Struthio camelus: one gene and its partners. The protein of the gene in region 2 interacts with the protein of the main gene of each other region in a pairwise test. Links are inferred from orthologs where the notes say so. Each region holds a gene or a part of one and is shown on either strand. Other genes may lie near its edges.

Region 1 (7,497 bases), on a different chromosome or scaffold from region 2:
CTGCCCCCCGCAGACCCGCACCCACCTCGCCGGCGCCTTTGCTGCCCTTGCCCGACCCGCTGACTTTCTGCTCCTTCAGCGTCTGCGGGGCACGAGAGAGTCAGTCCAGGGCCCGGGGAGGGGGCTCGAGCCGGGCTGGGGGTGCTGAGCCCCTGCCCCGCTCTCCCTGCCTGGAAGAGGACCCAGGCGTCCGGGGGGGTCTGTACCAGGTGCTGGAAGTCGCAGACCAGCCCGTCCTGGGGGCCGTCACCCGCCACCAGGGTTTTGCTGTTTGACGTCAAGATGTTGAACTTGCGGAAACTGCGGGGCAGAGAGAGGCCAAGGGTGGGGGCCGCTGCAGCTGGGACCCCCGCAGGGGCTGGGATCCTCCCTGGGAGCCGGGATCCTCCCTCGGGAGCCGGGACGCTTTGGGGGCCGGCACTCAGCTCTCACCCTCGGATCTTGGGGGGGTCCCTGCAAGAGACAGCAGGGCGTCAGCGGGCCCTGGGAGCCCCACGGCGAGGCTGGGGGGTCCCCAAATCCCCCCTCTGTGGGGAGGCGGGGGAATGCATCCGGGTGTGGGGGGGGGCCCGACCTGTCGATGTGGATCTTGGCCTCCATGTGGTGGCTGCGGTCGTGCAGGTGGACGAGGAGGCGGGCGCGGACGGAGAACTTGCTGGCCGTGCGCAGCACCAGCGGGCGCTTGCTGGAGGTGGGCATGCTGGGCTGGAGCTCCACCACGAAGGCGCTGGGGGCGAGCGGCCGGCGGGGGGTCAGGGCCGCCCCAGAGCCCTGCGTCCCCCCCCCCGCCCAGGCTTTGCGCCCACCTCTGGAGCAGGTAGGTGAGCAGCTCCCGCAGCCGCGTCTCCAGGAGGGGCGGCTCTGCCTGCAGCGGGTCCCTCTCGTAGGTCACCTTGTGCCGCAGGTCCCCCAGCGCCCGCAACAGCTGCAGCAGCTGGAAGAGCCCCTCGCCCAGCGCCGTGAACCTGCGGGCGCCGCGGCAGCGTCAGCGGGGGCCGGCCGCGGCGCCCCCAGCCCCGGCCCGGCCCGGCCCTACCAGGTCTCCAGCTGGAGCAGGCTGGTGTCGGCGGGGGCCCCCAGGCAGGCGCGCTGCTGCCGCTCCCGCCAGGCCCCCAGCTCCTGCTGCAGGAAGTCCCGCAGGGTCTCGCTGCGCCCCAGCAGCTGCTGCATTTGAGCCAGCACGTCCTGGGGGGAGACGGGAGCCTGAGCAGGGGGTGCAGGGCAGGCCTGGCCCCCCGCCCAGCTCAGGGCCCCGCTCACCCTCCGGCTCCGGTCCAGCTTCTGCAGCTTGGCCTGGAGCCCTTGGACCTGCTTGGCGTACTCGGGATCGCTGGTCCTGTTCTCGCCTGGGGGGTCAGGGGTGAGGGGGGGCCGGCACCCCGGCCCTCCCCGGCCCCGCGTCTCTGCTGCCTGCAGGGGTCGCAGGAAGGATTTGGGCACCCCAAACGAGCCTTACCCGGAAGGTAGTGCACCTTGTAGCAGAAATCAAACATGTCCTGCGCGTCTTCCAGGTGGCGGAAGGCGCGTTCGGCGTCCTGGGGGCAGAGCGGGGGGTGAGGGGGGCCGTGCCGCCCTGCGCCGCCCGGGTGGCCGTGCCGGCGGGGGCCGTTACCTGCAGGGCCGCCTGGAAGTCGGCCAGCCGGCGCTGGATCTCCTGCTGCCGGTCGCTCTGCGGGGGCGCGCTGGGCGCTGGGGCCGCCCCCCCCTGCGGAGACACGGGGCTCTTGGGCACCAGCCGGCCCGGCGGGCGGGGGGGGGCGCCTGCCGGCCCCCCTCCTACCTGCTGCCCCGCGTGCGCCAGGCGCAGGATGCGCTGCTCCTCCTGCAGCAGGTTGGCCACCAGGTTGGCAAATTTCTCCGGGTGCTCCTCGAAAGCAGCCTGCGGATGAGGTGGAGGGGGGGGTCAGCAGGGTGCGGAGCCCCCCCAGGACCCCCCAGCCCAGCCTCGCCGCCTACCTGGAGGTCGCGCCTGGCCTTGCGCAGGTTGTGTTTGAGCATGAAGTCCTCGTCGCCCAGCCCCGGGCTGCCCAGCTGGTCGCCCAGCAGCGCCAACAAGGAGTGGAAGAGCATCCGGGCGTGGGAGGAGAGCGGCTCGGCCGCCTGGCGCCTGCCGGCCCCGCGCGGGGTCAGCGGGGACCCGGCGCGGTTCCCGCCGCCCCAGGGCTCCCCCCGTCCCGTCCCCCCCCCCACCGCCCCCTTACCAGTTCTGGTCCTCGATCCAGGCCGCCAGGCACTGGCGCACCTCCATGGGCAGCGCCACGCTGCTGTACAGCTGGTCGACCTGCTCCAGGGCGGCGTTGGCCAAGCTCTGCAGCTCCTGCCACTGGGCCATGCTGGGGCCAGGCGAGGCCGCTCGCTCGGCAGGCGGCTCAGCCGCGGGCCCTGCCCCGGCCCGGGGCTCCGTGCAGGCGCTGGCAGCCCCGGTCCTGGCCCGGCGGGGAGCGGTGAGCCAGGGAGGGCGTCGGGCTGGGACCCGGCCCGGGACAGGCGTGCTCGGGGGGGCCGAGATACGGGGTGGGGAGGCAGCCCTCCCCAGAACAAGGGGAGCGTCCCAGGGCACCCCCCAAAGCGGCTCCCTGCACCCCCCCAGCAGCACCCCCAAAGGACCCCTCGCAGGGCCTCCCTGCAACCCCCCCCGGGGGCACCCCCTAAACAGGGCTCCCTGCGCCCCCCAGGGGCACCCCCCAAAGGGCCACCCTGCACCCCCCCCGGGGCACCCTTGGCAGGGGCTCCCTGCACTCCCCCGGGGACGCCCCCTAAACAGGGCTCCCTGCAACCCCCAGGGACGCCCCCCGGCAGGACCACCCTGCACCCCCCCGGGGACGCCCCCTAAAGAGGGCTCCCTGCACCCCCCCAGGGACACCCCCTAAACAGGGCTCCCTGCACCCCCCCGGGGACACCCCCCGGCAGGACCACCCTGCACCCTGCCTAGGGACGCCCCTAAAGAGGGCTCCCTGCACCCCCCCAGGGACACCCCCTAAACAGGGCTCCCTGCACCCCCCCGGGGACGCCCCCCGGCAGGACCACCCTGCACTCCCCCGGGGACGCCCCCTAAAGAGGGCTCCCTGCGCCCCCCGGCGCCCCCCGGCGCCCCCCGCGGCCCCCGCCCGGTGCTCGGCGCTGCGCTCCCACCTCGGCCCCCTCCGCGGACTGCCGGGACGGGGCGGGGAGGGCTCCGTGGCCCCGCCCCCTCGCCGCTCTGCGCAGCCATTGGCGGAGAGCGGCGCCGTGGCCACGCCCCCCCGGCCGGGAGATAAGTCTTCCCGCGGGGTCGCCCGCTTCCCAGAAATGACGTGTGGAGGGGGGCGGGGCCATGGGGGGCGGGGCTAACGGGGCAGGGAGGGGGAAGATGGTGGCGCCCTGCTGGGGGCAGGCCGCGGCGGCAGGGACCTGGAGCCAGGGCCGTGGGGCCAGAGCTATGGGGACAGGACCATGGGGCCAGGAACAGGCTGTGGGGCCAGGGCTGTGAGGCCAGGGCCAGGCTGTGGGGCCAGAGCTATGGGGACAGGACCATGGGGCCAGGAACAGGCCGTGGGGCCAGAGCTATGGGGACAGGACCATGGGGCCAGGAACAGGCTGTGGGGCCAGGGCTGTGAGGCCAGGGCCAGGCTGTGGGGCCAGAGCTATGGGGACAGGACCATGGGGCCAGGAACAGGCTGTAGGGCCAGGGCTGTGAGGCCAGGGCCAGGCTGTGGGGCCAGAGCTATGGGGACAGGACCATGGGGCCAGGAACAGGCTGTGGGGCCAGGGCTGTGAGGCCAGGGCCAGGCTGTGGGGCCAGAGCTATGGGGACAGGAACAGGCTGTGGGGCCAGGGCTGTGAGGCCAGGGCCAGGCTGTGGGGCCAGAGCTATGGGGACAGGAACAGGCTGTGGGGCCAGGGCCAGGCTGTGGGGCCAGGGCCATGGGGACAGGGTCATGGGGACAGGAACAGGCTGTGGGGCCAGGGCTGTGGGGCCAGGGCCGGGCTGTGGGGCCAGGGCTATGGGGCCAGCCCGGCTGCCCCAGCCACCCCGGCGCGGCGGCGCTGCTGGGGCAGGCAGGCAGGGCTGGCAGGGGCCAGAGCCCTGCCGTTGGCGCGGGCCGGGCCAAGTTCCCCTTGCCCCGGGGCAGGGTGACCCAGCCATTGATCGTGGCCTGCCCCACACGCACGCATGCACGCACGCACACGCAGCCAGAGGCGCTGCCAGGTGTTTATTGGCGGCTCAGACGAGGAGGACAGGGCCGGCGTGGGCCGTGGGGGCCGGCGGGGGGTCCCCGTCCGAGGTGAAGTAGCAGATGAGGGCCCGCACGCTGGCCTTGAGCCCCGGCTGCAGCCCCAGGTGGACGCCGTAGGCCACGGGGCCGCCCGCGGCGGCGCTGAGCGCCGTGAGGCTGTCGTAGCCCAGGTCGACGGCCGCCTCCAAGGCCCGCTCAGACGCCAGCTCCTCGCAGCCCTGGTAGGCGTAGTAGAGGCTGGTGCCCAGGTTGTACAAGGTGCTGATGCTGGGCACCCACTCCAGGATCCTGTGCACCTCCTGCTCCCCCGGCGAGCTGCAGATGTCCTCGCTGGAGCGCCGGCTCCGGCCCCGGGGCGCCCGGCTGCACCGCTGGAGCCAGGAGCGGGCCCCCAGCGCCGGCAGCACCTGGGCGCCCTGACGCCGCACGGCCTGGAAGGAGGAGGGCCCCGCGGCTGCCACGCCGGCGCAGGCAGCCTGCAGGCGCTGGCAGGCCCTCGCGGCCCCGGCGAAGCGGCTGTGGGTGCTGGCCACGGGGCCCCAGAGCTGGATGTTGGAGAGCGGCGTCAGGCCGGCGCAGGGCTGGACGGGGACGGAGGCGCCGAGCTGGGCCAGGCTCAAGAGCAGGGGCAGGTGGCCGCTGCCCGGGGCACGCTGGAGCCGCACCAGCCCCTGCAGCAGGGCCTCAGCCGTGGGGCCCTCAAGCTCCCGGTACAGCCCCAGCACCAGCGCCTCGGCCTGGGGGCCGCAGCCCGCCTCGCTGAGCGCCAGCGCCAGGGCAGCCTGGGCCAGCACGCGGGGCAGCGCCGGGAGCTGGGAGAAGCCGGGCAGGGCATCGGGCTGCAGGTCACGGCAGGAGACGCCGGCGGCCCCGGGCAGTGCCTGCGGCAGGCCCAGCTCGGAGAGCCGCGCCAGCAGCGCCCGAGCTGCGGCGGCAGCGTCCGGCCCGGGGGGCACGGTGGAGCTGGCCGCAGCGCCAAGGCAGAGGAGGAGGCTGAGCAGAGCCCAGCGCATGGCAGGTCGTTCCCGGCAGAGCCTGTCAAGGCAGCAGGAGGGGGCAGAGCCCATGAGCTCCCGGTGGCCACAGCTCCCCCCCCCCCCCCCAACCACCCCAGCCCCACCAGCGCCCCCGCTCACCCACTGCCGATGCTCGCGTCCCCAAGCCCGCAGGACAGCCGCTGCGTGTCTGTGGCCGACCCCCTTCTCTGGTCCTTTTATAGCCCCTGCCTGGGCCCTTATCGAGGGCCGGTTGCGACACGCTGGGGGCTGGGCCCGATCCTGCAAGCATCTTGGCACCTTCCCGGAACAGAGGGGTGGGAGGGGACAGAGGTCTCCACCCAGCGCGGTGGGACAGAGGAGGGGACGCAGCAGGGATGGGGCAGTGCTCCCCCCATGGGAACGAAGGCATCCAAGTCAGGGAGAGATTTGCACTTTTTATTTGGTCTCTTTCCCCATTAAAAGGTGGCATTAGAAAAGAAAAGGACATCCTTGAGAAACAGCAACCTTTAAACTAAAAACACGGAGATGGACATGAGAAGGGGAGAGGAGGGGGACAGTGGGAGCCTGCTTTCACCCCACCCTTAAAAACTAGTTTAAAAACCTGCAGAAAAAGCAGAAAACTAAATACAAGGAAGCCCACAGGGAGCAGGGCCCGCAGCCCCCTGCTCCCTGCAGGGCTGGGATACACTGAGGGTCTGGGCAGGGCACAAAGAGCCTTTCAGTCCTCCTCTTCCTCTTCCTCCTCCTCCACGCGGCGAACCCGCTTCCGCCTGCTGGGGGGCTGCAGCACCTCATCCTCCTCCACACAGGGCCCAGCAGGGCCTGGCCCAGCACCTGCAGGGGCAGAGGGGGTCCAGTGGGGGCCGGGACCCCCAGCACCATACTCTGCCTGGGGTGGGGGCCCAGCCCTGCACTCAGCCTTCCTCCCAGCCCCACGCTCTGGGGGGCAGGGACATGGTGAGCATCACCCAGCAGCAGCCCTGTGGGAGACCCCCTGGGCCCTGGTGGGGGGCTGCGAGCCCCCCAGGGAGGTGCTGTGTTACATGCAAGAAGCAGGGGCGCAGCTCACCCAGGCTTGCAGTGTCCTCGTCGTCACTGTGCACCTGCCACCTCCGCTTGGTGCCCGCCTGTGCCGGGACCGGGCCCGGCTCAGCACTGTAGCGATGGCGACGGGTTAGAAGAGGCCGACGCTGCGCTGCCCAGCCCCAGGGGCACAGGTCTGTCCCCACCACACGGGGAGAGGCCAGGAGTCTGCCCCCCCCCCCCAAGCTGGGAGAAGACCCAGGTGTCTGGGGCAGGGGTCTAGCAAGAGCTCCCCTTCTCACCTCTCCAAGTCCGATCCCGGCGAAGCCGGTGGCTGCTCTGCTGAGAGGGACAAGGGAAAGAGCGGATCAGGGCTGGTCCCGTCGCTGGGAGAGCCCTGAGCCCAGCTCCCCCCACCCTGTCCCGGCCCCTCACCTGGAGCTGGCCCCTGGGGATGCTGCGGTGCCGAGAGCTGTCCCGGGGATCCCTCGGGCTCAGGTCCTTGGCGGGCGAGGGAGGCAGCCGCACGGCGGAGCTGCTGGGGCGTGAGGGTGGCCGGGATGCGCCAGAAGGACTCCTGGGTAGAGAGGGGAGATGCTGCAGGGCTGGGCTACGCCGTGCCTGGGGGGCATGGTGGTGGTGGTGGGGGGGGTCTCACCTGCTCGCTGGCAGGGGGCCGGACCCCCAGCTTCCGCAGCAGGGCCTGGAAGCGCCTGTCCTCCATAGCGTCCTCGTTCTCCTCCGAGAGCGGCACCAAGGGCACCGGGTGGGACACGCCTGGGCACAGAGAGTGCCGTGAGCCTGGCCCTGGCCCCGGCCCCGGCCCCCAGCCCCAGGCTCCCACTCACCGTCCTCCTCGCGGTCCCCAGCCGTCCGCTTCAAGTAGTTCTCCAGCCACTGCAGAGGCCCAGCCAGGCCTGCGGACACGGAGAAGGCCAGACAGGATCCATCCTCCCGGAGCCAAACGCAAACCAGAGGCCTGAACAGCCTCAGCCCCCACTCACCTTCCTGCCTCAGACGCTGTGCCAGTCCCTGCCCAGCCCCGTCTTCAGGCACCCAGTGCTCCTCCATGGGGCCTTCCTCAGCACCGTCCTCTTCCTCCTCCTCCTCGTCACTGTCGCCCTCCTCTGCTGAGCTGTCCCGGGCGGGTGCCCCCAAGGGCTCCATCTCATCCTACCAAGGACCAGCCCTGCCTTCCAGCACCCACCTGGGACAAGGCTCCCTCCTCACCCTTCCCGCACACCCCTCCTACCGCCAGG
Region 2 (7,033 bases):
CAACATTGCACACACGTAGCACATAGGTAAACACTGCACAGAATCTCAGATGGATGTTTTTTACTTCATGTGAACATGAATATTTCAATACCCTTAAGGAATCTACTTTCCCTTTGTTTTTCAAAAAGCAGTATAAAGCATTAGGTACAAAAAGGCACCAGAGAACTTTTGCAGCTACGGAGCTGCCCAGCGCGTTTGCACGCATGCTCCCAGCATACAGCAGTGCGCTCCTGGCCCACAGTGGCTGTAACTACAGATCCAAGCGAACGATAAAAAAACCCCAACAAAAACCATTTTGCTTCAATCGCAGTGTTATCACTGAGCACTGACACACAAAACGGACATTGGTCATGTGCATTCTGCAATAAGCAGCATGCCTGCTATCACAGGTATTTATCTTAGGTACCACTTAACAGGCCATCCTGAGTACATGAAAGGAAATCCAGATTAGTTCCACTATTATTAATCTGGGTCAACATTAGAGCATATACAGCAGGTATTGATGCTTGTGAGTGTTATTTCAATTTCTAACACCACCACTTGCTTTTGGATATATTTTTTTAATATCTTAATGACTAGGGTGTTACAGCTAAACTAGTTTTCTCTCATCCATATTCAAAGATCTCATTCTAAAGTTTTGGGAAAAGACACAACTGTATTTAAATTTCCATTCAAATATTATATTGATCAGATTTTATGGGGCGATTTTGACATTCTTCTGACAAGAATAACATTTGTGCACCAGCACTATTTCTTTGAGGTATCTCCTCTTTTGGGCAATAGAATGAATCAGGCTGAAATTATGTAGTTTCAAAAAGTATGAATTCCTATGTCATTTGAACTTCCTGTAGCAACAGAATTTTATCTTGTAGCTTGTCAGCACGGCACAGGTTTGTTACAGCATGTTTACTTTCAAAATAATGCCAAATTCTGATGCTGGGATCCTATCGCTTGACCCAGGAGGTAGAGTCTAGACATATGTGGATGGTCCACTACCTGTGGTATCTCATCACTCTCAAATGCAACTTGATTATGTACCACTGACTTACTTTCTTGCTGAAGTAGGGAGCAATAAAGACCAATCAATTAATTCAGGCTTCTTGAAGACTTTGTTCTGCCTTCATCTTTGTCATTGAGCTGCAAGTTCTTCTCATACAGTTATTTACTAACAGAACATACTGAGAATAAACTCTAGCGGGTTTATCACTTGGCTGTTGGCTATCCAGCAATCCTCAAATAACCGGTACCCTCATCATATTATGAGATACAGTATCAAGCACTATAAACAAGATATTCCTCCTCAGAATCTACATATTCTACAGGGCATACGCACCTGAGATTGCATTTCAAAAGACTTAGCACAAGCTCAGCAGAGGGAGTCAGCTTGCTTCCCATCATTTTCAAAGAGCGTAAGAAAAAAAGAAAAGAAGGAAAGAAAAACTGCCTGCATTACATCAACAACAGGTATGAACTTGATTGCTGGAACAAGAGAATCTCTTGACTTTTTTAAGGTTGTGCAACTAGCGCTTTAGAAAGGTATGTTTCCGTCCACAGTCATGAAAGACTAATTCAGTTGTTTTAAGCCATGCAGCCTTTCCAGAAACTATTAATTCCCTTCTCCCGCTTTATATTTAAAAAGAAAGAAAGGGAAAAAAAATCTGCTTTTTTCACTACTGGCAGATTTCCAAGATAAAGACGACTGCACTCTGCCTGGAACAGCAGTCGGGGCCTGCTCTTGAAACTCACAAAAGGGAACACCACACACAGAGAAAAAGCGACGGATCTGATCAGCCAGAAACGTTTTCTCACCCTCTAAACCAGTTTCTCCAAAAAGGAAAAAAGAAAACGGCGAGCCGGCGGCAGCCCGCTCCGCGCCGTTCCCACGCACCGCGGAGCCGGGCGGTCACGCCGCGGCGGGACGAGGGAGGGCCGGCCAGGTCGGGCCGGGAGGGACCGGGATAAATAACTCCTATTTAACCGGCAGAAACAGAAAGAACATGAAGTTTTCCCTGTTTCTACCTTCCTTCCCCCCTCCCCCCGCCCGCCCGCCCAGGTGCGGATCTTTTTGCGGGACGAGCAGCGACGCCAGGTCAAGGCGACCGACCCGACGGCGGGCGGGGGCTGCCGGAGCGGTACTCGCAGGGGGGCGGCGCGGCCGCGCAGCCCCCGCGCCGCTCCGCGGGGTCCGGCCCCGGCGGGGGGCGGCAGCACGGGGCGGTGCGGTGCGGAGCGGGGCCCGGCGGCCGCCCCGCGGCTGAGCCAGGGCGGCCCGGAGCGCGCTCCGCGGAGCGATTGGGCAACGCGGGAAGGGGATTGGGGGGGGGGGAAGAGAAAAGCAAAGGGGGGGGGAAAGGCAAAGGAGGAAAAAAAGTACAACCGATGGGATGTGCCAAGGTTTATTCCCTTTTATTTCCTCCACCCCCACAAAAGAAAATAAGCCTAGAATCAGGAAGTCAGACTGCGTGATCGCTGCTATAGGTTTGCTTTTTTTTTCTTTCTTTCTTCTCCCTCCTCCTCTCTCTCCCTTTTTTTTTTTTTTTTTAAAGGAAAGAAGTTGGGACTTTCCCTGCGCCGCTCCCAAGGGGAGGCAGCGGCGCGCCCGCCCCCGGGGCGCCCCCGGCGCGGCCCGTACCTTTCTTCTCCTCCACGACGGAGCAGTGGGCGACGCGCCCCAGCAGTAGCAGCAGCAGCAGCAGCAGCAGCGGCGGCGGCGGCAGCAGCACCGGGACAGCGGCCCCGCGGGGCCCGGCGGCGGCGGCGGCGCTGCGGCCGCCCATGCTGCGGGACGGCCGCTCCCGCGGTGCGGCGCGGCGCGGTTGGAGCGCACGGAGAAGCTTTCCGCGGAGCTGCCCCGCTCCTGCCGCGGCCGCGCTCAGCCCCGCTCCGCGGCTGCTCCCCGCAGCATGCCGCGCCGTCGAGGGCTGCGCGCACACGTGCGTGCCCGCTGCCTGCCTGCCTGCCTTCCTCTCCTGCTTCCTCCTCCTCCTCCTCGTCGTCCTCGGCAGCGACGGGTGCGCGGGGTGGCGGAGCGGCTGGCGCCGGCTGCGGGACGGGGCGCGCCCGGCTGCGCTCTCCGCCCGGCCGCGGAGCGCAGCGGCTCCCTCTGGGGACGCCGCGGAGGAGGAGGAGGAGGAGGATGGGGCGGGAGCAAGGAGGAGGAGGAGGAACCGGCGGCGCCTTCCCCGCCCAGGTGGGGAAGGGCGGCCCCGCCACCTGTGCCGCGGTGGGGGGGCGAGGGCAGGGGGCGGCCCCGCTCCGCGCCCTTGGCGCTGGCAGCGAGCAGTCGCTCCGCGGAGGAAGTTACTGAGCAAACAGGCTGAGGGACACAAGTGTTCCCCGGGGGCTCCGGCGAAATTCACGGACACGAAGCAAAAGCGCCTATGCGGACTTCTCCTCCCTCCTTCCCCACCCCCCAACCCCGTCCCAGGAGGGCAAAGCACGCTGTTCAGTATTTAGTGGTATATGCTTGTGGTTAGAGCGTCTTGGTTTTAACCCAACACCTTTCCCCAAAACCGGGAGGAAGCAGCGTCTCGTCAGACAGGCGTGTAAATCGGGACGCAGAAGTGGCACTCGTCCCGGCCGGGATCTCCCCGAGTCAAGTCAGTCTGCTGCCACCTCCTGAGTCAACCTCCAGATTTGTTAAATGCTGTTGCTAATTTCTTCATAACGCTCTTGCGAAGACTGAGGTCTTCAGTCACATAGGCAATAGGATAGGAAGCCCAGGAACTGCTATGATTAATTGGGAACTCCAGCACCGAGGTCCGTAATGACACAGGGTTTGGGAGATGATGTGCTAAATGCCTCTGTCTATCACAACGTGTTGGAACACAATAGATTGCAAAAGAGCCACTGAGTGTATCTTGACTTTCCCCGATGATGCATGTTTTGTGCTGCATTACTGTTCTCCTGCCAGGCAACTTCCTCTGCACTATCTTTTCCTGATAGTTTAACTACTTCCTGACCCAACTAGACATAGAAAAACTGTCCCATTTACTTATATTAGCACAAAAAACATGCTTGAGCAGAGGCCTTTAACCATGTGTCCCATCACACCTGTAATGATTTATTAAGATAAACTGGGTTACAACTGAGTTTCTCGCCGTGCAGCTTTTGCATGCTATAGCTGACAATCTGTTTTGATTGTATTTTGTAAATGATGCAAAGAAGTTCTTTGAAGTAAATTCATGCATTGGTAACATGGGAGCAACTCTACTCATGTGATTGGTTTCATGGCTGTAACTGATGCCGGCATTTGATCTATCAATACAACATTCATGCTGTTTCCTTCAAAGATGCTCATACAGTGCAGCCTCATAACTATTACATGTATACAATTGATTTTCATTTATTTGGACAAATAGGAGGGTTTTTAAAAATTACATGCCCAGGAAAATAAATCAGCTTCTCAGGAGGGAGGGCTGCAAAAGCAACCTCAAAAAATGTTAAAGATTGCAGCTTTCATTATAAGGACGTACAATTAAGACACAATAGAAACAAACCTCAAATCAGTGCTGTAGACAAATATTAAATAAAAACATGTGTCTTTAAATATATTATATCAAGACACAACTGTTGAAAGCAATGGAGTTTTTTACATTTGAGAAAGGAAAGTTCAGAGTGATATCACCAGAGTGATAACGGAAAAATGAGCTCAAGACAGGAAAAAAACCCCATCTCTGATGTATGAATTGAATGGAAAAACTTGTCAAAGTCCAGTCCTAACATACTAACGTACAAATATTTTTGCTGAAGAATTTTTCATGCAATTGTGATTCTACCTGCCATTCTGAGCAGGAATCTGTCATACTCACTTTGCCTCCCATCATGAGCTGTCCTTATGTGACTCCATGTAAAACTGAACATGATGGGCAAGGGAAGACTCAGCAAATTCCCCTTTAAATTCTTCCCCACCCTCTAAAAATTCACTATAGGAAAATCTAGTCTGATGCTGGCATTGCAGTACCACTGACGGGGCTGTGCAGCAAGCTGCCATCACTTTTGTCTTCCCACCTGTTTGAGCCCAAATGTGTTATTTTCATGACATTTGTCCTCTACTTGTGAGAGTCACAAGATAACGTAGGGACTGTAAGACCCGAGGACTTGGATGCTTATGATCACGGTCGAGTCTTTCAAGCCTTCTGCTGTTTCCTATTTACACAAGTGAACAATTTCTGGAACAGTTTAAATTTAAATATGACATTTTCCCAAAAAGCTGGTCACGTACCCAGTGATTGCATTTGATATAACTCCTTTGAGGCTAATGTCACTACGCAAATTTGAGCATGGGCATGCAATATTCCTTCGCGTTGCAAAACTTTAAATACCAGCTGCATGTGTGCATGAATCTACGGCCACGAAACAAAGGTCGACCTTTCGACAACTAGCGTTAAATTAATATTACCTAGTGAGAATATCATACTAAACGCAAAATCTTTCTTCGGCTTTTCTGGGACTCACTTGCTTTGTATTGTATACTTATCTTCCAGATATGAAGCATAAACGCACTGACATAGGAAGTAAAGTCCAGCTAAAGAGAAAGTTCCTTCACATGCGGATACTGCTGGATGGGAGAGCAGAACCGCGACTGCTCCCCAGCTGCGGCCCGTGCTGCTGAGCTGGTCTCTCCGCCACGCGCGGAGAGCAGGAGCCAACAGAGGGAGAGCCACTGACTGCCCTACTGGTGGAAAAAGTGGGAAAAGTGGGATCAATTTTCCTGTCCCCCCCTTCCACATTCTCTCAAAACAGAATAAAGTCTCAAAATCCTTTCAAGAGCAAAGTCGTCCCTGCAGCTTGATTTCTTCCTTGAATAAAACCAAAAAAGGATAGATTTTAATTATCCACTGATAAACGGGGCATTTGCCCCTCCAAAATAATTCATAAGCAACTGCTCGCGGATGGCACTGCTGTTCTTTCCTGCGTTTTGCACAAGTGATTTTAAAGGGCAGGCCTCTTCTCGGAAGAAAAGAAATGAGACAGAGCTGAATTAGCAGGGCTTTTAAATCTGGCTTGCTCAGGTTTCATTTGCATGGTATTTGAGATTGCGGACATTGTAGTTTGCGTTGCAGTTTGTATTCTAAGAGTCCTCACTGAGGTAATAATTCTTTGAGCTTTATGGCATGACATGTTCAAAACATTGCATAAACATTAACTAATTTATCTTCACAAATCTCCTGTAAGGCAGGTTAGTATCTATCATTTCCATTTTATAGATGTAAAATAATTTGCCTTGGGCGGAGTATTAGTGGCAGTACTGGGGTTATCACTCAAGAGCTGCTTATTCCAGCTATTGTGTTTGAATCTCCCCAGATCAGGCTGCTGCTAGAGAACTTCCCTGATGAAAATGTAGATTTTTTTTGTTTAAATACTCCGATTCTTGCTCTCTTCCACTGTTTGTTTGTACAGTGGTGTGTAAAGGACGAGACAGATACACACACGGATGCTGGAGTTAAACCTTAATTACAGTAAGTTCCACCATCAATCCATCCAGTATTTCAACACGTGACCGTAGCATTATCTCAGGAGAGTTCTTACACTTTTATTATTATTATCATTTTTACACCCAGGTTTTACCTGTCACCTCAGTTTCCTTAGTCAGTGTCAATGCTGCATTTTCCAGGGAAGCTTTGCCTCACTCAGAAACAGATTTTTAAATGTTTTAAACTGTGAATAGGGATCTGCAGCACCAGCTTATTCACTAACTGAGGTAGGCAACAGAAAAGTAAATATAAGAATAACAATTGGCACACGTGGAGTAAACGATCTGCAAGATCTTTTCTACTAAGCATCACAGTAGCTTCCTGTGTAGAAACAAGCTTCTGGCTTATTTCTGTACTTTGCTAGGGTGACTTACACGGATACTACTGTGCTGCCTTAACTCTCTTTCTCAACCACAAATCATACATCTCTATATGACTGCATGGAATAAGATCTGAACATGCTGTCGGTACATCTCATGTCACTGGAAGCATCGCTACCATTGCCAGTTCACACCGCATAATTTTCCAAGACGGGCAACTATTAATAGCAGGTGCCC
Region 3 (7,527 bases), on a different chromosome or scaffold from region 2:
GGCCTTAGTGGGAAAACGGCCGGCGCAAGGAACTACCTTAAACAACCGTGTGGTGAATCAAAATAAAGGTAGGGGAGGGGAGGCTGGGAAACGCGGGGCTAGCCGTTAATTTCTTTTGTCTGGCTCACTTCTCTCCCGGTGACACGAGATCCCTGCTATTCAGCGCCAAATTCTGTTGAGCAAACAGAATGAGCGGAGCTGCTGCTGCGGAAAGAGAGCAAGAGCAAGCCCGGGGGGGGCCTGTGAACGCGCGCAGGTCCGCGGGGGCTGCCGGCCCGGAGCTGGCTCGGCTCGGCCCTCCCCGCGCTCGCTCCCCTCCTGCCACAGGAAACCCTCGCTGCTGTGCTCTCCTCCCTCGCCGATAGACGTGTGCACAGATTTATAGTGACAAGCGAGAAGAGGCCGCGCAGCTTTCTCCCTCTCTCGGGGTTTGATGAGTTTCTGCTCCAGATTGGAGCCACTCTTGAAAACGCAGGGGGCTGCTTGTTTTGGTTTGTGTTGGTGTTGGGGGAACAGGCGGGCCGCCGGGGGGTCTCCATGCCCCCTGCCGCGGTGGCCCCCCCGCCTCCCTGCGCATCCGGGAGCCGCTCGTTCCCCGGAGCTTGCAGGAATCAGCAGGCAGGAGAGTCTTTGCCCTCTGCTAAAGAAGAAAACACTACTAAACTTTTTTGGGGGAGAGGGGGAGGAAGACATTAAAAAAAAAAGTGAAAAAGGTGACCAGCCCGTGGATGACCCATGCAAATACAGCCTGGCCAGCATAGGGCTATTCAATGTATATACACCATAAGGGAAGCTCAGCGTTTTACGGGTCCAGATTAGCAGCCCTGCGTTCACGGACCTTAGAGAAGGCAGGCGGGAAGAGCCGAGCGAGCCCCGGGAAGGGCCGAGGCCCGGCCCGGTGCAAGGCGGGCGGCCCCGGCGGGGTGCGGGCGGCCGGGGCTGGCAGGCGGTTTCAGCACCGCGCATCAAAGTGAACGCTGCGAAGGCTTGAACATGGGTAACAATAATCAAAACCAGACTTTCCTTCCCACCACCACAAAGGCTGAGTCCCCACGACGGGGCTTTTTTGCAGGGCCCGGGGCACCCCGCCGGCCGGGACGGCAGCACCGCACTCCGCGCGCTGCAGAAGGAGGTAGCCGCTCCCGCGGCCGCTTGGGGTCCAAATTAACCCCCTATTAGCCTGCCTAATAGCCTGCAGCTAGTTAAACTCAACCCAGCTCACCCTTGGGAGAGAGCTTCAGGAAGGGGCTCATTATTCGCAGCAAATTGGGACTCCTCCTGAGGGGCTGAGCAAGGCCTCTCGCAGGCTCCCAGCCCCTCTGGAAAAGTCCGAGACGGCAAAGAACCGCCCTGGAAAAAGGGGGAAAACGCAGCTTTCCTCGGCCCCGTCGTTGCCCTCGGGCCGGACCCCTGCAGGCGCTTGGGCCTGGGGGAAGGAGCTGCCCCGCCGGCCCGCGCCCACCCCGGAGGGCACGTTGGGAGCGCAAACAGGCGAGAGCGGCTCTAGCCCGGACGCCAGTTTTGTTTAAGACGTGCAGCTTCCATCTGTTGCCACATAAACACACGCTAGCAGGATGCCTTACGCTCCAGCCCCCTATGGGGGGAGGAGAGGAGAGGAGACAGACTTGGGGGTAGCAGTGGTGAAAATCCCCCACCCCCAGCCTGTCCTTTCAGTAACCCCAAGTCCCCCGCGCCTCCCTGGACGGGACCCCCCTGGGCCACACGGGGCGGGGGGAGCTAGCTCCGGAGTCGTCCTAAACGCGTTTATTTGAAATACCACCTCCCCTGCTCGGGACCAATCCATAGGCACCGCCAGCACTTCGGGGGGGGAGCGGCCCAGCTGCTTTCCTGCTGCGGCCGACCTGCCCTTGCAGGCGGCTCCGCGGCCCCTCGCCCGACGCCACGGTCGGGGGCTGCCTGCGGGCCAAGCCCGGCGAGGCCCCCGGGGGCCGGGGAGGGCTCGAGGGTCCCTCCCGCTGCCGCTCCACTGGGAGAAACCCAGTGCCCGCCTTGCCCGGGGCACAGCCTCTCGCCCTGCCGCCAGCCCGTCCCCCGGCTCCCCTGCGCCTTGCGGGGTCTGCCGGCCGCGGCGGGGGACTCCTCGCCCTCCTCCTTCCTCGGGGGGGCGGGCGCGGGGCCGGGGAGCCACGTCGGGGGAAGCGTCAGCGCTGCCCCCGGAGCCGTCCTCGCCGGCCCAGGAGGGGCTGGGGGACGGGGACACCGCCTGCCCCGTCCCCTGTCCCTGCGGGAGCCGGCGGGCTCCCCGCCCGCAGCGCCAGGCTGGCCTAGCAGGCAGCTTTACCAGTCCCGAATTTGCAGTTTTGTATTTTTTGCTCGGTCCTGTGAGATGCCACATGGAAGCCGTTAACGAATGCTCGATAATGATCATGACAAAAGCATTATTCAAATGAGGCAGGTAATTGCAACCAGAAGGCGCGTTCTCCCCTTCCTTTTCCTCCTTTCTTTCTGCAAGAGTTCCTCTCCCATTACTTCTGATCCTGACGGTACTTCGCCAAGAATCACCTTCATCGCTTTGCACCTTAAACCAGATACACTTACGCCGATAAATCACAACCAAACGAAGCACGACCGTGCAGAATGTCCTCAGCGCTCACAGGGAGTTGTTGTAACCGATTTGAACTTTAAATCTTCGTGGCGCTTAAATCTGCGCGAACCCAGAGCCCTGATCAAATTAATGATAGGGTTTTTCTCCTCCAGCCTCCACAAATTACCGGGGTCGAGGCTGCTGTGTTTGCTTGCACCCCGAGGTAGATAATTCCAAGGTGCAGTGACTTTTTGCCTTGCTTTTTTGCTCGCTTGGAGCCTGTTGTTTATTCACAAGCATTACGGTATCCTGTTAGCATTCCGAACAAGGGGCTGCTCACAGATCTGACTCCGATGATTTCCTGGAGGAACATGTGGAAGCAATAGCGGGGTTGTGCACTCACCAGGCTGAGGATGCACTAGTGGAGAGCACGCAAAAGGCTGTGAGCACCACTGGGGACCCTGCAAACCCAGCCACTGGGACCTCAGCTTGAACATGCTTTTCACAGGAGTTGGTTCTCGTTTCTGCCCCCATTCCCTTCAGGGAATCTGCGCTTCAGAGGCTTAATTCTCCTTCTGTTAGGAAGGAGAAAAAAAGCACTGGATCCTGCTGCTTGACTTTGAGAACAAACTTTTCTTTTGTGCAACGCTAAACGGAAGAAAAATAAATAAATAGAAAAGCAGGCGCAGGAGGGAGGGTGGGCGAGCCGCGGGATGGGGGGGAAGCAGGAGGGAGCGCGGGGCGCAGCTCCGGCGTCGGTGCGGCTCCCCGGGCGGCGGCGGCGGCGGCGGCGGCGGCGGCGGCGGCGGCGGCGGCGGCGCGGCGCGCTCCGTTCCTGGGGCTGCACTGCCCCCTCGCCCGCGGCCGCCGCATCGCCCCGCCGCCAGCACCGGCGCCGCGCCGCTTTTCGCACGGACTCTCCAGAAAAAGGCAAGAGCAGCTCCCTGTGAACTCCCACGGCTACCTCTTATCGGCAGCAAATAGCAAGAGCCAACAAAGAAGAGATACCCGACTCTCCCCAGCGGGGATCAAAGCTCTGCCCAGAGCGTATTCAAACAGGACCCACTCAAACGTGCGCAGCCCTCGCCTCCACAGGCACCTCCAGCCCTCGGCAGTGCCCCGTGGCTTGGTTATTACTGGGTTTTGTTTGCGTGGAGCAAACCAAAGGAAGAGAAGAGTAGAAGAGCTTTCCCGATCCCGCCAAAGCGCCACGGTTTGGTGTGGCTGGCTCCTTGTGAAGGTTACCTTTCGTTGTGTCTTTCATTCATAAATATTAGAGATTCGTCTCTCTCCCTCTCTCAGTGCTTCCTGCTTCTGGCTGCCACCCAGCCGTCCATGCAGCTCTCTCTACCAAGCCCATGCTCAGTAGTGTACAAAGGACATGAGGAAGCTGCACATTCGTTTCCCGATCAAACTCCTCATCCATAAACTCACACTGTGACCGCGGACACCGAGCCCGGCGCCCGACCCACCTTCCTAGAGGGTCTGAGGAGGAAGGCTCATTCATGACATTGGGAACACTCTGAGTTTTCATGAAACTTTTTTTTTTTCCCCCTGCAGTGCAAAACTCTCCGATTCCCCCTTTCCTCCCCCTCGCCCCTGCCATATGGCTAACCTCCCCCCTCCTCTGCAAGGCTGGTGAAATCTGGAGGCTGAGACTGGCCCCCCTGCCTGCGTAAGAGCCCGCCGCCGGCACGCCCGCCTCCGGCCGCGGGGCTGGGGGCGCCGAGCGCGCCAGCGCGGCTCTTATTCTGAAGGGGCCGGAGGGGGCTTAATTTCCTGACAGCTATTTACTTAAAGCAAATGATTAGTTTTGGAAGGATGGACTATAACATTGAATCAATTACGGGACGCGGTTTGTGAGCCCATTACAGTCGGATCTGGAGGGAGGGCGAGCGGGAGGGAAAGAGCGCGGCGGAGCGGGGAAAGTCACAAAAGACGTGGACATATTTTGGATATTTTACAATCTGCAGGATTGTAACTGCGGATTACAAAGGAGAAGGTACGAGGTGAGGGAGGATTTTCCCACTTTTTTTTTCATCTTTTCTCCCTCTTTGTTGCTGTTGTCGTTGTTTTATGTTCCTCTCCCCCCCACCCACCCCACCCCCGTAATTTATGTGTATTTATGTGGGCTTTTTTAATGCTCTGTCGGCGGAGCCCCGGTGCGGCTGGACCGGGCGGCGGACGCCTTCCCGCGGGGCGCAGGCGGCGGCGGCGGGCGCTGGGGCCCACGGCGCTGCGCGGGGCGCGGGGAGCCGGCGCTGCGCGGCCGTCGGGGCGCGGGCGGCGAGCAGCGCGGGCGGCGCTAATGACAAACACATTGGGGCGGCGGGGGCCACCGCGCCGCGCTCCTGCCGCGGGGGCCGTAGCGCCCCGACGGGCTCCGCGGGCTGCTGCGGTGCCCGCCCCGGCGGGGACGGGGCCACAAGCACCGACAAAGCGAGGTAGGGTCGTGGCCAGCCGCTCTCTCTCTTCTCGCAACCCGTTTAATCCCCACCTCTGCCCTTGCTTCCTTCGCCCCCGCTGCTCTCCGGTCCCTTCCCCCACCCTTTGTTTTTCACCACCTTCCCCTCTTTAGAACCCCCTTCCCTGCCTAAGTCCCTCCGACCGGGTAGTCTAAAGAGCCTGAGACCCCGAGGAGGGGACACACAAACACCCCCCATCCAGGCAAGCCCATCTCCATCCTGGCGCGCCCCGTCTTTTTTACACGTCTCGGCGGAAGGGAAGATGCTGAATTCAGGCAGCCCGACTGGTACCTGGAGGCTTTCCAGCTTACAGCCCCGCTTACAACGGGAACCCAGCCCCGCTCCTCCCTACCAGACTCCCGAAGCCCACCGCCTTGCAACCCAGGGGAGGGCAGAGTCTTCACGGCCACCGTCTGGATTTTGTCAAGCGCGGAGGTTGCAAATTTGCCAGCTTCTGCCAGGCTGGAGTCCCCTGGAAAGCCCTAGGAGCAAGTAGGAAATGGCTTTTTGGCTGTCCACAGCATTGCTCAACATTTTTGGATGGCGATTCAGCAGCCCAGGAGCCGTTCCAGAGAACAGGACTTGGACAGCTTTTTCTGGAGCGAGCAGCGACAGATTTCGCGAGGCAGCAGCAGCAGCCCCCGAGCTGCAGCAGCCAGCCCCTGCGGCTTGCCCACATCCCGGAGGACCGCGGGAGTGCCTTGGCCACCCCCTGAGCCCTGCGCATGCTTCCCGTGCCCCTTGACGGCCTTTTTGGTGCATCTCTTGCAAATCCTGCAGCCTCCTGGCACACCGCTGGCACCCGGACTCCACCAGCCGGCATGGACCGGCATCACCGCAGGCTGGGTCAGGCCTGACGGACACGGTGCCCCTGGCGATTCCTGGCTGCCCCTGGACCCCACGGGCAAGTGTGTGCAGTCCTCCGAGAGGGTGCAGGAAGGTCCGTGTCTTGCCTGATGGAGAGAGCTGAGAAAAGAAGCCCGGAGCTCACCTCAAATCAGAGTGCCAACCATATTTAATCAGCTCTGGAGGGAAACGCATGTTTGCTCTCCCCTTCCCCCCTTATCCCTGTCGCCCTTTTCTTTTTCCTGGCTACCTCATGTGAAAAAATTTGCTCCAGCTTGGCAAAGGCTTTCCTATTGTTTCCTAGACAAACAGTGGTGGGCTGGGAGCTGCCATCTCTGCTAGGTTTGCTGGGTGTCCCAGGCAGCCTTTAGTCACCCACGGTGTAAGCAGTCAGAGCCTGGCTCAGCCGAGGAGCCGTGGGCACCAGGAGGCCCCGGGAAGTGGCACTTCTCCCGCTCCCTCGGGGCTTCTGGCTCTCTGCGAGCCAGACTGGGGCTGGCAAGCATCGACACCCCACGGTGGGGGCTGGAGAGCGTGAATGCACCCGCTCCCAAACTGAGCAGGCTGATAGCCTGGGTGTCCTCGGCTGTGAGGCAGGAGTGCTGGAGCAGCGGGACCCGCTGTTCTGGGCCAGCCTTGCTCCCCTCTTGCCACCTTTCCCCTGGTTCCCCTGTGCTGCCAAGCAGGGCTGGGGGCACCTTCAGGCACCCCGAGGCATCCAGGGAGGTCCCGTCCAGGGCTGATAGAGCCCAGCTGGGCTCCCGCCTTCATGTGTCGACTTGGCGTCCCTGGACGGGGCAAGAGACAGGATCTGGCAAAACGAGGGGACAAGCATCAAAGGTTCCTCTGTCAGCGGCTGGAGCAAAATGTGAATTGTACAGATCCGGCTTTTAATTATGGGTCTAGAAGTGAGAGGAAGATCTCCCAGCAAGGGACTTCACTTTTAGCTTCCAGTAAACAATGGGCGTTTTAGAAAGGCCCTCTGCTAAACAGTGGTTTAGTTAACCTTCCTCTCAGAGCTTGAAAAAAAGTTTAAAGAAAAATGAGGTCATACAAAGCACTGGGATTTAGGAGTCCGCAAGTAAAACAGCTCTCCCAGCTTGCAGGCAGTCACTCGTCGCTTAAAACGAGACTCCTTGTTCTGGTAGTGCTCTGTAGACATCAAGGGGGAGAAGGTGTGCCACACTGGCAGTGATTGGGCACTGGGGCCACCTTTCTTGTTATTTGCTGCTCGATATATGGAAGATTGTTGAGAGTAATATACATGTATTAGGTTTCAAGAAAGCGGGAAGTAATAAATATTTGAATAAAATGCCTCTCCACAATACTACAGTATCAAGCTAGGATTTGGGTGTCATTTATATAGGCCAAAGAAGACTTGCATGCTACAGACCTTGTTGGTAATTGCCAACTACATCACCTGGTGTAAAATGGAACATAAAATGGATTATTTTATACAAGTCTTGCCTTGCTTGTATCCTTTGTTCATCATGGCCGCAATGGCACTAGTCCTACATGTGAACTCCGAAAACTTTAATAGGATATGTTTACTTCAGTTGTTTTAAAGACCAGGGCATGACTTCTGAGAGGTCATTTTTCTATTGCTGACAAGAATTGATGATACTTTAAAAGAAGTAAGCAGTCCCTTCTCTCCCTCTTGCTTCACTCTCC
Region 4 (7,643 bases), on a different chromosome or scaffold from region 2:
GCAAGACATCAAGGAAGACAGGACCATTAAGTTCAAGTCCAGGACACCTGGGTTGGATCGTGGCCACCAGCTCTTGGATGATGGACTCTCCAGTTTGGTCTAGCTCTGGAATGAGATGTAGATGTTCCCATGTGACGATCCCCACTCAGTGCTACAGTCACGAAGAAGAATTCTGTTTTCTTTCATTGTTTTACAGCCAGGAGATGCAAGGAACTGTTATTTGCTAGACTCCTGGAGCAGACTGTGCAGGTGGATCTCTGCTGTCTTCTGCGGTAGGTGGACGCCTTGCATCCAAGAATGGTTTAAAATGTCTTCGAAAGATGGCCTGTCCGAGGGTCGCAGGGCCAAACACCATTTGATGAGATGCTGGCATTCTGAGGAGAGAAGCCAAGGGTCAAGCTAGGAAGGCCCGAGACTCCTGCCTCTCTCGTGTCACTGTCCGGATTGCCCTGCTTTGTGCTCAGGGCTGCTCCCAACACCCAAATACATCAATCAACTAACATTTTTGGAGGGTAGCCGGCAGGGACGGCAGGACAAGCGCCCACCTTCTCTAGCCTCCAGCTAACCGAGGAAGAGATCAAAACCCTCCCTAACCAGTAAGAGCTGGACGCTTGCGTATCCAGCATCATCTCCTAACACGTGCTATTCCCTGATGCAAAAAACCACGTGCCCACCTGGAGAGACCCTCTGTCGGAAGTACACCTGGCCCCGCACAATCTCTTCATCGTGCTCAAAGGGGATGTCTCCGCAGACCATGTCGTAGAGTAACACACCCAGGGACCACACCGCCGCCGAGCGGCCGTGGTAGCGATGGTAGCGGATCCACTCTGGGGGGCTATACACCCTGGTGCCTGCAAGAGACCGGAGGGACTCGTCACGCGGGAAGAGCCGGCATCCCTCAGAGCACACCGGCACCGGGGAGGAAACGTTTGTTTTGAACATCATTAGGGTGGTTCCAGTCGCATTCGCCCCAATTGACGCTGCAGCATCTCCACCTCGCAGATGCGATCGAGGGCGACATTCATACCTCCCAGCTGCTGTTTAGCAACAGCGGCGTCACGGCAGGGCGCAAGGGAGGCCGGCAGCCGGGGGCCGACCCGGCGCGGGGAGCAAACGGGCTTCCCCATGCAACGCCGACCTGCGCTCGCCTGCACCAGTGCCACCAGCTGCAAAACACGGCGTGGGGCGATGCAGCCCACGCTCGAAGCCCTCGGGGAGCCGGAGAGGCGCAGATGCCTGCCCGGGCACCCCCGGGCGCCGAGGCCGAGGGAAGGGGGGGGCCACCGGGATCTGTGCGACCCGCCCGCCACCACGTGACTCTTGTTTACAAACTTTAGGTTGTAAAAAAAAGCCGCCGGTGCCGGAAGGGGGCAGCACTGGCTCGGGGAAGGCCCGGGGCCCCGACCGTTACATGCAAAATAAATAAATAAATAAATAAATAAATAAAATAAAATAAAGCACCCATGGGAGGTGGGGGAAAAACCCGCCCCCCCATGCAGGGGGAAAAAAATAAAAAGGCAAATAAGGGGCGCGGAGCAGCCCAAGCCTTTCCGCAGCTGCAGAGCAAACGGGCTTCGCACCCGGGTTTTGCAACCTCCCCTCACAACGGCTGTTTGTTTTTGTAGGGTTGCCTTCTCTCCCCAACCCCCCCACCACCCCCAGCTTCCCCCACACGGATCAGCAGGTTGGGTGTCCGGGCAGGGCCAAGCGCCGGCTCCCGTTTCCCAACGCGCACCCCGCGACAAAAAAAAAAAAAAAAAAATCAAGCATAAAATAAAATAAATCAAATAAAAACTTTGCAGCGCAGCCGGCAACAAGCCGGGGGTTCGGGGGAAGGGGGGTGCGAAGCATTGCAAACCGGGCTCACCGTCGAAATCCGTGTAGACCGTGTCCTTGAGGAGGGCGCCGGAGCCGAAGTCGATGAGCTTGAGCTCGCCGGTGGCGAGGTCGACGAGGATGTTCTCGTCCTTGATGTCGCGGTGCAGGACGCCGCAGCTGTGGCAGTGCCGCACGGCCGCCAGCACCTGGCCGAAGAGGCCCCGCGCCAGCTCCTCGGGCAGGGCGCCGCGCTCCGTGATGAAGTCGAAGAGGTCCTGCACCGGCTCGGGCCGCTCCAGCACCAGCACGAAGCTGTCGGGCCGCTCGAACCAGTCGAGGAGGCGGATGACGCCGCGGAAGCCCGAGCCCACCTTCTTCAGCAGCAGGATCTCCATGGGCACGCGGGTGCCGCCGGGCTGCCGGGCCACGGCCGCCGTCAGCCGCCGGGCCGCGCCGGTTCGGCACCCGCCCCCCCCTCCCCTTCATCCCCCCCCCACCACCACCACCCCCCGGCGCCCCCGGCACTCACCAGCTCGCCCCACTCGGAGATGCGGTCCCGGGCCACGTGCTTGATGGCCACCTGCAAGGCAAAGGGCAGCGGCGGGCTGAGCGCGGCGCCCTCCCGGCCCCCCCCCCCCTCCACGCTCCTCTCCCAACCCCCGGTGCCGCCCCCCCCCCCCCGCCACTCACCGGGGCGCTGTCGGAGAGGCGGACGCCCGAGTAGACCGAGCCGAAGCCGCCGCTGCCCAGCAGCGGGCCCACCTGGTACAGCTTCTCCAGCGGCTCCTTCTCCTTGCCTGCGGGCGAGGCAGCGCCGTCAGCGCGCCGCCACGGCGCCGAGCCGAACCGGGACGAATATCCCCCCCCCCCCCCTTCCCCGCCACCGCGCGCCGGACCGGCTCGAACCGGACCGGACCGGGCCTCACCTGGCTGCAGCTTGGCCGCATGCAGCTCCCCGCCGGGCCCCGAGCGGAGGTGGGCCAGCGAGTTGATCTTGGAGAGCAGCATCCCTTCCCCGTCGCCCGGCTCCAGGGCCGGCACCGGCGCCGGCACCGCCCGAACCGCACCGGGCGCCGGCGGCGCGGTTCCGGCAGCCGGGCAGAGACGCGGGGGGGGAGGGAGGCGGCGGGCGGGGAGGGGGCGAAGAGCCCGGCCGGCGGAGGGGGGCGGAGGCGGGGAGCGGGAGCGGGCGCGGCGCGGCTGCTCCGCGCGCTGCCGGGCTCCCGTGTGGCGCGGCGGCCCCGCGCCGGCCGCGGGAGTAGCGGGGGGCGGGGGCGGGCCGGGGAGAGCCGCGGGGCGGCGCCGCGTCGGGCCGCGCCGCGCCGCGCCGCGGGGGCCGCCCCGCCTGCCCCGGCGCGTCGCAGCCAATGGGGCGCCGCCGCGGGCGCGGCCCGCGCGCCGGAGGGGCCGCGGCGGGCCACGACGTGGCGGGAAGGAAAAGGCGCCAAAGGGGGGGCGGGAGCGGGAGCGGGGGCAGGGCACGCGCATTGTGTGCGGGCACCGCGCGCGCGCGTCGCCGCCGCGGGCTGCGTCCGGGGCGCCGTGAGGGGACGCGGTCGCCCGGGCTCCCGTCGCGGGGCGACGCGTGCGGGGTGGGGGAGGGGGGGCCACTGTGAGGGCACAGAGGCGCCACGGGGGTGGGTGGGGGGCGGCGGGCTGACGTGGGGGCATTGTGTGAGCGCACACGCGGGGGGGGGTCTGCGGGGGGGTGGCCTGCGTGACGGGCTGTGGGTGAGGGGGGTCCCCTGTGCCTGACAGGCTGTGTGTGTGAGATGAGGGTACCGCATGTGTGACAGGTTGTGTGTGAGGGATGGGGGGGGTCACCTGTGCCTGACGGGCTGTGTGTGTGAGATGAGGGTACCGCATGTGTGACAGGTTGTGTGTGAGGGACAGGGGTACCATGTGTATGACGGGCTCTGTGTGAGGGACGGGGGTACCCTGTGCCTGACAGGCTGTGTGTGTGATGAGTGTACCACATGTGTGACAGGTTGTGTGTGTGTGTGTGTGGGGGGTCACCTGTGCCTGACGGGCTGTGTGTGTGAGATGAGGGTACCGCATGTGTGACAGGTTGTGTGTGAGGGATGGGGGGGGTCACCTGTGCCTGACGGGCTGTGTGTGTGAGATGAGGGTACCGCATGTGTGACAGGTTGTGTGTGAGGGACAGGGGTACCATGTGTATGACGGGCTCTGTGTGAGGGACGGGGGTACCCTGTGCCTGACAGGCTGTGTGTGTGATGAGTGTACCACATGTGTGACAGGTTGTGTGTGTGTGTGTGGGGGGTCACCTGTGCCTGACGGGCTGTGTGTGTGAGATGAGGGTACCGCATGTGTGACAGGTTGTGTGTGAGGGACAGGGGTACCATGTGTATGACGGGCTCTGTGTGAGGGACGGGGGTACCCTGTGCCTGACAGGCTGTGTGTGTGATGAGTGTACCACATGTGTGACAGGTTGTGTGTGAGGGATGGGGGTACCGCGTGTGTGTCAGGTTGTGTGTGAGGGACGGGGGTACTGTGTATGTGCCTGACGGGCTGTGTGAGAGATGAGAGTACCGCATGTGTGACAGGTTGTGTGTGAGGGATGGGGGTACCGTGTGTGTGACAGGTTGTGTGTGAGGGACGGGGGTACTGCATGCCCAATAGGCTGTGTGACACATGGATATTGTGTGTGTGTGTGACAGGCACACGGGTACTCTGGACACGTGTGCGATACATACATGGTTGTGTGTATGTGTAGCTGTGTGTGTGTGTGTGTGTGCACGGGGAAGGGTATGTGTGCACATGGATACCTGCAGGCAGCGTGTGCGGCCGTACAGCAGCATACGCTTGTGTGCGTGCACTTGGGTGTACCTCATATCCCTGCAGGTGTGAGCGCGCGCGTGTGTAAACTGCTGCTTTAAATAAATAAATAAATAACAATATTTGAAGATAAAATAAAAAAAGCTTTTACATGCGATTTCCTTTTTAAAAACAATGTTTTCCACGCAGCGGCCTTCACCTGAAGCGGCCCAGGCAGCGGGGGCTCGCGCTTCGCACCCCGCGCGCGCGGCCCCCGGATCCGCGCTGGCTCTGCTCCGAAGGGCCGCCCGAAATCTCGCCGCCGGATTTTTATTACATGCAAGCTGGGGCAGGAACAGCTGTTTTCCAAACAAACACTTCGCTGCAATGGCAGGTTGCATCAACACGAAAGTGAAACCGGCTGCCAACGCCGGGCGCTGCTGACTAAGCCCCGGCCGGGAGAAGCGCAAAGGGTGAAAGCAACGAGTGGGGCCAAAGCGGACGGAGGTGCCCGGCAGCTCCGTCGGGGGCATCGGGGCCACCACATGGGACCCGTCCCTTCCGGGCCTTGGCAGCAGGATTTGCTCCTCGCCGGACGTGAGGTTTCCCAAACGGCCGGACGACTGTAGTTTGGGGGATTCGACTCGGCGGGGTGCGGAGGTGACAAAAGAAAAACCCCAGCGGCTTCTGCCGCCGCTGCGACACGGCCGCTCCGGGCAGCGGTGGAAAAAACGCCGGGTGGATGTGAGGAGTTGCAATTTCTCCCACCGGTGAAGTGGGAATAGGGCCCCCTGCGCCCCGGCCGCGTCCCGGCGGGGCCGGTGCAAGATGATTCGCCGTTTTTATTGGCAGCCGGTGGAAGACGGTGGCGCGAGCGGTTCAGCCTGTTTCGGATCCTGTTCTGTGGCAACGTGGGTGCTTCCGTTCCTGGTCCAAATCCATGGAAACATCCCAAAAGGCAGCTTGGACTTTTGGCATTAAAGGGCTATTTGGCGGCAGCAGCCGGCATCGCCCAGGCCCCCTTTTTGAAGAGTTTGGCTCGCCTCGCGCCGTTATTGTCGTTACTTCATCGCTTCCTAGTACCCACAAGCAAAACGGTGCCTGAACTTTTCCCTTTTCTAGTAAAAGTGGAGATTCCAGCTGGGGGTTCTTGACTAACAGCCTTTTTTTTGGGTGGTTGTTGTTGGGTTTTTTTTTTTTTTTCCACAGAAGTTGCTGGCTGAAATGCTTTGCCGAGTTCCAGAGATAAGATAAATAATTTACTGGATGTAGGTTTCTGATTACTCACTCTATTAGCATTTAGAGCAAAGAGCTCCAGCCACTGGGAGCTGAATTATTACAGACGAAGCCCATCTGGGTTCCCGTGCCTGCGCGAGACCGAGGAGTTCCCAGCATCCCACACATACTTGTGGAATGAATTGCTGAAATCTAATGGGTTTTACTGGAAATGCTGGTGAGCGCCGGTCTCTCTTAGTTTTTCTTCAAAAAAAAAAAAAAAGAAAAAAAGAACAACACAAAAACAGAACAAAACCAAACCAAAAACACCCAACAACAGGCAGCTGCTTCGGCCGCTTGCTGAGTTAACCCCCCCCCCCCCAACAGCGCTATCGATCTGCAAACAGTCGCCCACAATAAGATAAGCACCGAGCGGCTGCTGCTCTCGCCCGGGCCGGGAGAGATGCTCTTTCCCGGAGCGTCTCTGCTCGTCCCCGTGGGTCGGGCGCGGGACGGACGCCGGAGCGGGTGCCTGGCCGCTGCGGGCCCTAGGGCGCTTCCCGCGCCCGCCCTGCGCCTTTTGGGCCCTGCAGATGCTCTGCAAGGGGGCTCGAGCCCCCTTCCCCCCTCGCCCCGTCCTGTCCCCCGGGGTTTGGTTTCTGCCCAGAAAGTGACATTTTGGTTTCGGGAAAGTCTGCAGAAACCTGACGCAGCAGCTCTTTTTCCTTTCCTTCTTGTGTGCGGGGAAGGGTGTTGCTTTTTTTTTTTTAGTGTTATTATTATTATTATTATTTTGGGTGACGCAAACTCAAGGCGGAGGAGAAGGAGGGCAGGGAAACGCGTTTCTCCGGCGTTATTCCCACCCGAAGCCTGGGCAGGTTCGAGGCGACTGGTTTACGTGAGTCAACGTTCGGCACCGGGGCGAAGTGACTCAGCATCTGGCCCCAAAACTCATGACCAAATTCCTTGCCGCCGTGATGATGAAAAGGTGCCCAACGGGCTGCCCTGGAAACGGAGGCTCTTTATTTACAAACAGAGCACACCCGGGGGAGCGGCAGGGCTTTCCTAGGGGCTGCCTTCCTCCGACCTCCTCCGGAGCCGGCAGGCAGGCGCATCCCTCTTCCTCGCGCCGGCCAAGCTGCTAATTAGCGTCGGAGGGAGCAGCGTCGTCTTGCAACCCAGATGATTTGGGGGCCAAATCATCGACGCGCGCGCAAACCTACCCGCGCGCTCATTTTTGCTGAGTCGGCGGGCGCCTCGTCCTACCGGCACCCAGGCGGTTGCAGCCTAGCGGGGAGCCCTTCCGGATCGGGGAAAACCACCCTCGCCTGGGAGACGAGACCGTGGAGACACCTCGAGGCCTGGGGCGCGCTGACGGCGGCACCCAGGAGGGGACGGGGAGGCGCTCCCGGGACCCGCACAGCGGACGCGGCCGGCTCGCGGGAACGGCCGGCTCGTGGGAACGGCCGGCCCGCGGGAACAGCCGGCTCGCGGGCGCTCTGTCCTTCCCGGTTGCATCCTTCCCCCTCCAGAACGAGCCACCCAGAAACATTTCCGTTTCCCAAACCGGTGGCACTTTTCCACCCAGTGCTCGGCCCCCCCCGGATTTGCCTTTCCCTTCCTCCAGCCTGGGCTTTGCTGGTCCCGGCTTGATGCCATTAGCGTGTGTCAGAGGTTCAGAGTAACATGAAGCAAACCCCATCCTGCTTGCAACCTGCCTTGCGCTTCTCCGGAGCAACAACCTCTTTTCCAACCCGCTTCCGCCCGGATGAAAAGCCGGGGGAGGTGGCAGCATCCCCGGCCCCCCGGGGGGCTGCCTCTGCCCTCCACCTCGC

Evidence for each region.
Region 1: the proteins of EGFR (region 2) and STAT2 interact in a protein complementation assay, tested with the Homo sapiens proteins (3 studies listed by BioGRID and IntAct, with this or other methods). The link is inferred for Struthio camelus from reciprocal best matches to the Homo sapiens genes EGFR and STAT2.
Region 3: the proteins of EGFR (region 2) and PDGFRA interact in binary tests that used the Homo sapiens proteins (3 or more experiments, as listed by UniProt). The link is inferred for Struthio camelus from reciprocal best matches to the Homo sapiens genes EGFR and PDGFRA.
Region 4: the proteins of EGFR (region 2) and PIM1 interact in a protein complementation assay, tested with the Homo sapiens proteins (3 studies listed by BioGRID and IntAct, with this or other methods). The link is inferred for Struthio camelus from reciprocal best matches to the Homo sapiens genes EGFR and PIM1.

The regions. Positions count from the first base shown.
Region 1 is NC_090969.1:444,234-451,730, reverse strand, and holds the start of STAT2 (signal transducer and activator of transcription 2), read right to left. Parts: upstream 3,173-7,497; 5' UTR 3,133-3,172; intron 2,427-3,132; 5' UTR 2,333-2,426; coding exon 2,202-2,332; intron 2,108-2,201; coding exon 1,957-2,107; intron 1,880-1,956; coding exon 1,781-1,879; intron 1,706-1,780; coding exon 1,613-1,705; intron 1,536-1,612; coding exon 1,457-1,535; intron 1,347-1,456; coding exon 1,261-1,346; intron 1,186-1,260; coding exon 1,037-1,185; intron 966-1,036; coding exon 807-965; intron 728-806; coding exon 575-727; intron 454-574; coding exon 433-453; intron 301-432; coding exon 207-300; intron 83-206; coding exon 26-82; intron 1-25. Other genes in the region: APOF (apolipoprotein F), read right to left, coding at 4,205-5,230; protein timeless homolog, read right to left, coding at 5,934-6,049, 6,285-6,370, 6,541-6,580, 6,674-6,815, 6,897-7,015, 7,087-7,155, 7,243-7,411, 7,491-7,497. UniProt on the Homo sapiens protein: Signal transducer and activator of transcription that mediates signaling by type I interferons (IFN-alpha and IFN-beta).
Region 2 is NC_090943.1:60,447,766-60,454,798, forward strand, and holds the start of EGFR (epidermal growth factor receptor), read right to left. Parts: upstream 3,089-7,033; 5' UTR 2,778-3,088; coding exon 2,633-2,777; intron 1-2,632. UniProt on the Homo sapiens protein: Receptor tyrosine kinase binding ligands of the EGF family and activating several signaling cascades to convert extracellular cues into appropriate cellular responses.
Region 3 is NC_090945.1:56,953,921-56,961,447, reverse strand, and holds the start of PDGFRA (platelet-derived growth factor receptor alpha), read left to right. Parts: upstream 1-4,354; 5' UTR 4,355-4,400; exon of another isoform or gene 4,401-4,518; 5' UTR 4,519-4,547; exon of another isoform or gene 4,548-4,554; intron 4,555-7,527. UniProt on the Homo sapiens protein: Tyrosine-protein kinase that acts as a cell-surface receptor for PDGFA, PDGFB and PDGFC and plays an essential role in the regulation of embryonic development, cell proliferation, survival and chemotaxis.
Region 4 is NC_090965.1:4,863,760-4,871,402, reverse strand, and holds the start of PIM1 (serine/threonine-protein kinase pim-1), read right to left. Parts: upstream 3,045-7,643; 5' UTR 2,827-3,044; coding exon 2,745-2,826; intron 2,616-2,744; coding exon 2,509-2,615; intron 2,399-2,508; coding exon 2,348-2,398; intron 2,235-2,347; coding exon 1,868-2,234; intron 852-1,867; coding exon 675-851; intron 375-674; coding exon 217-374; 3' UTR 1-216. UniProt on the Homo sapiens protein: Proto-oncogene with serine/threonine kinase activity involved in cell survival and cell proliferation and thus providing a selective advantage in tumorigenesis.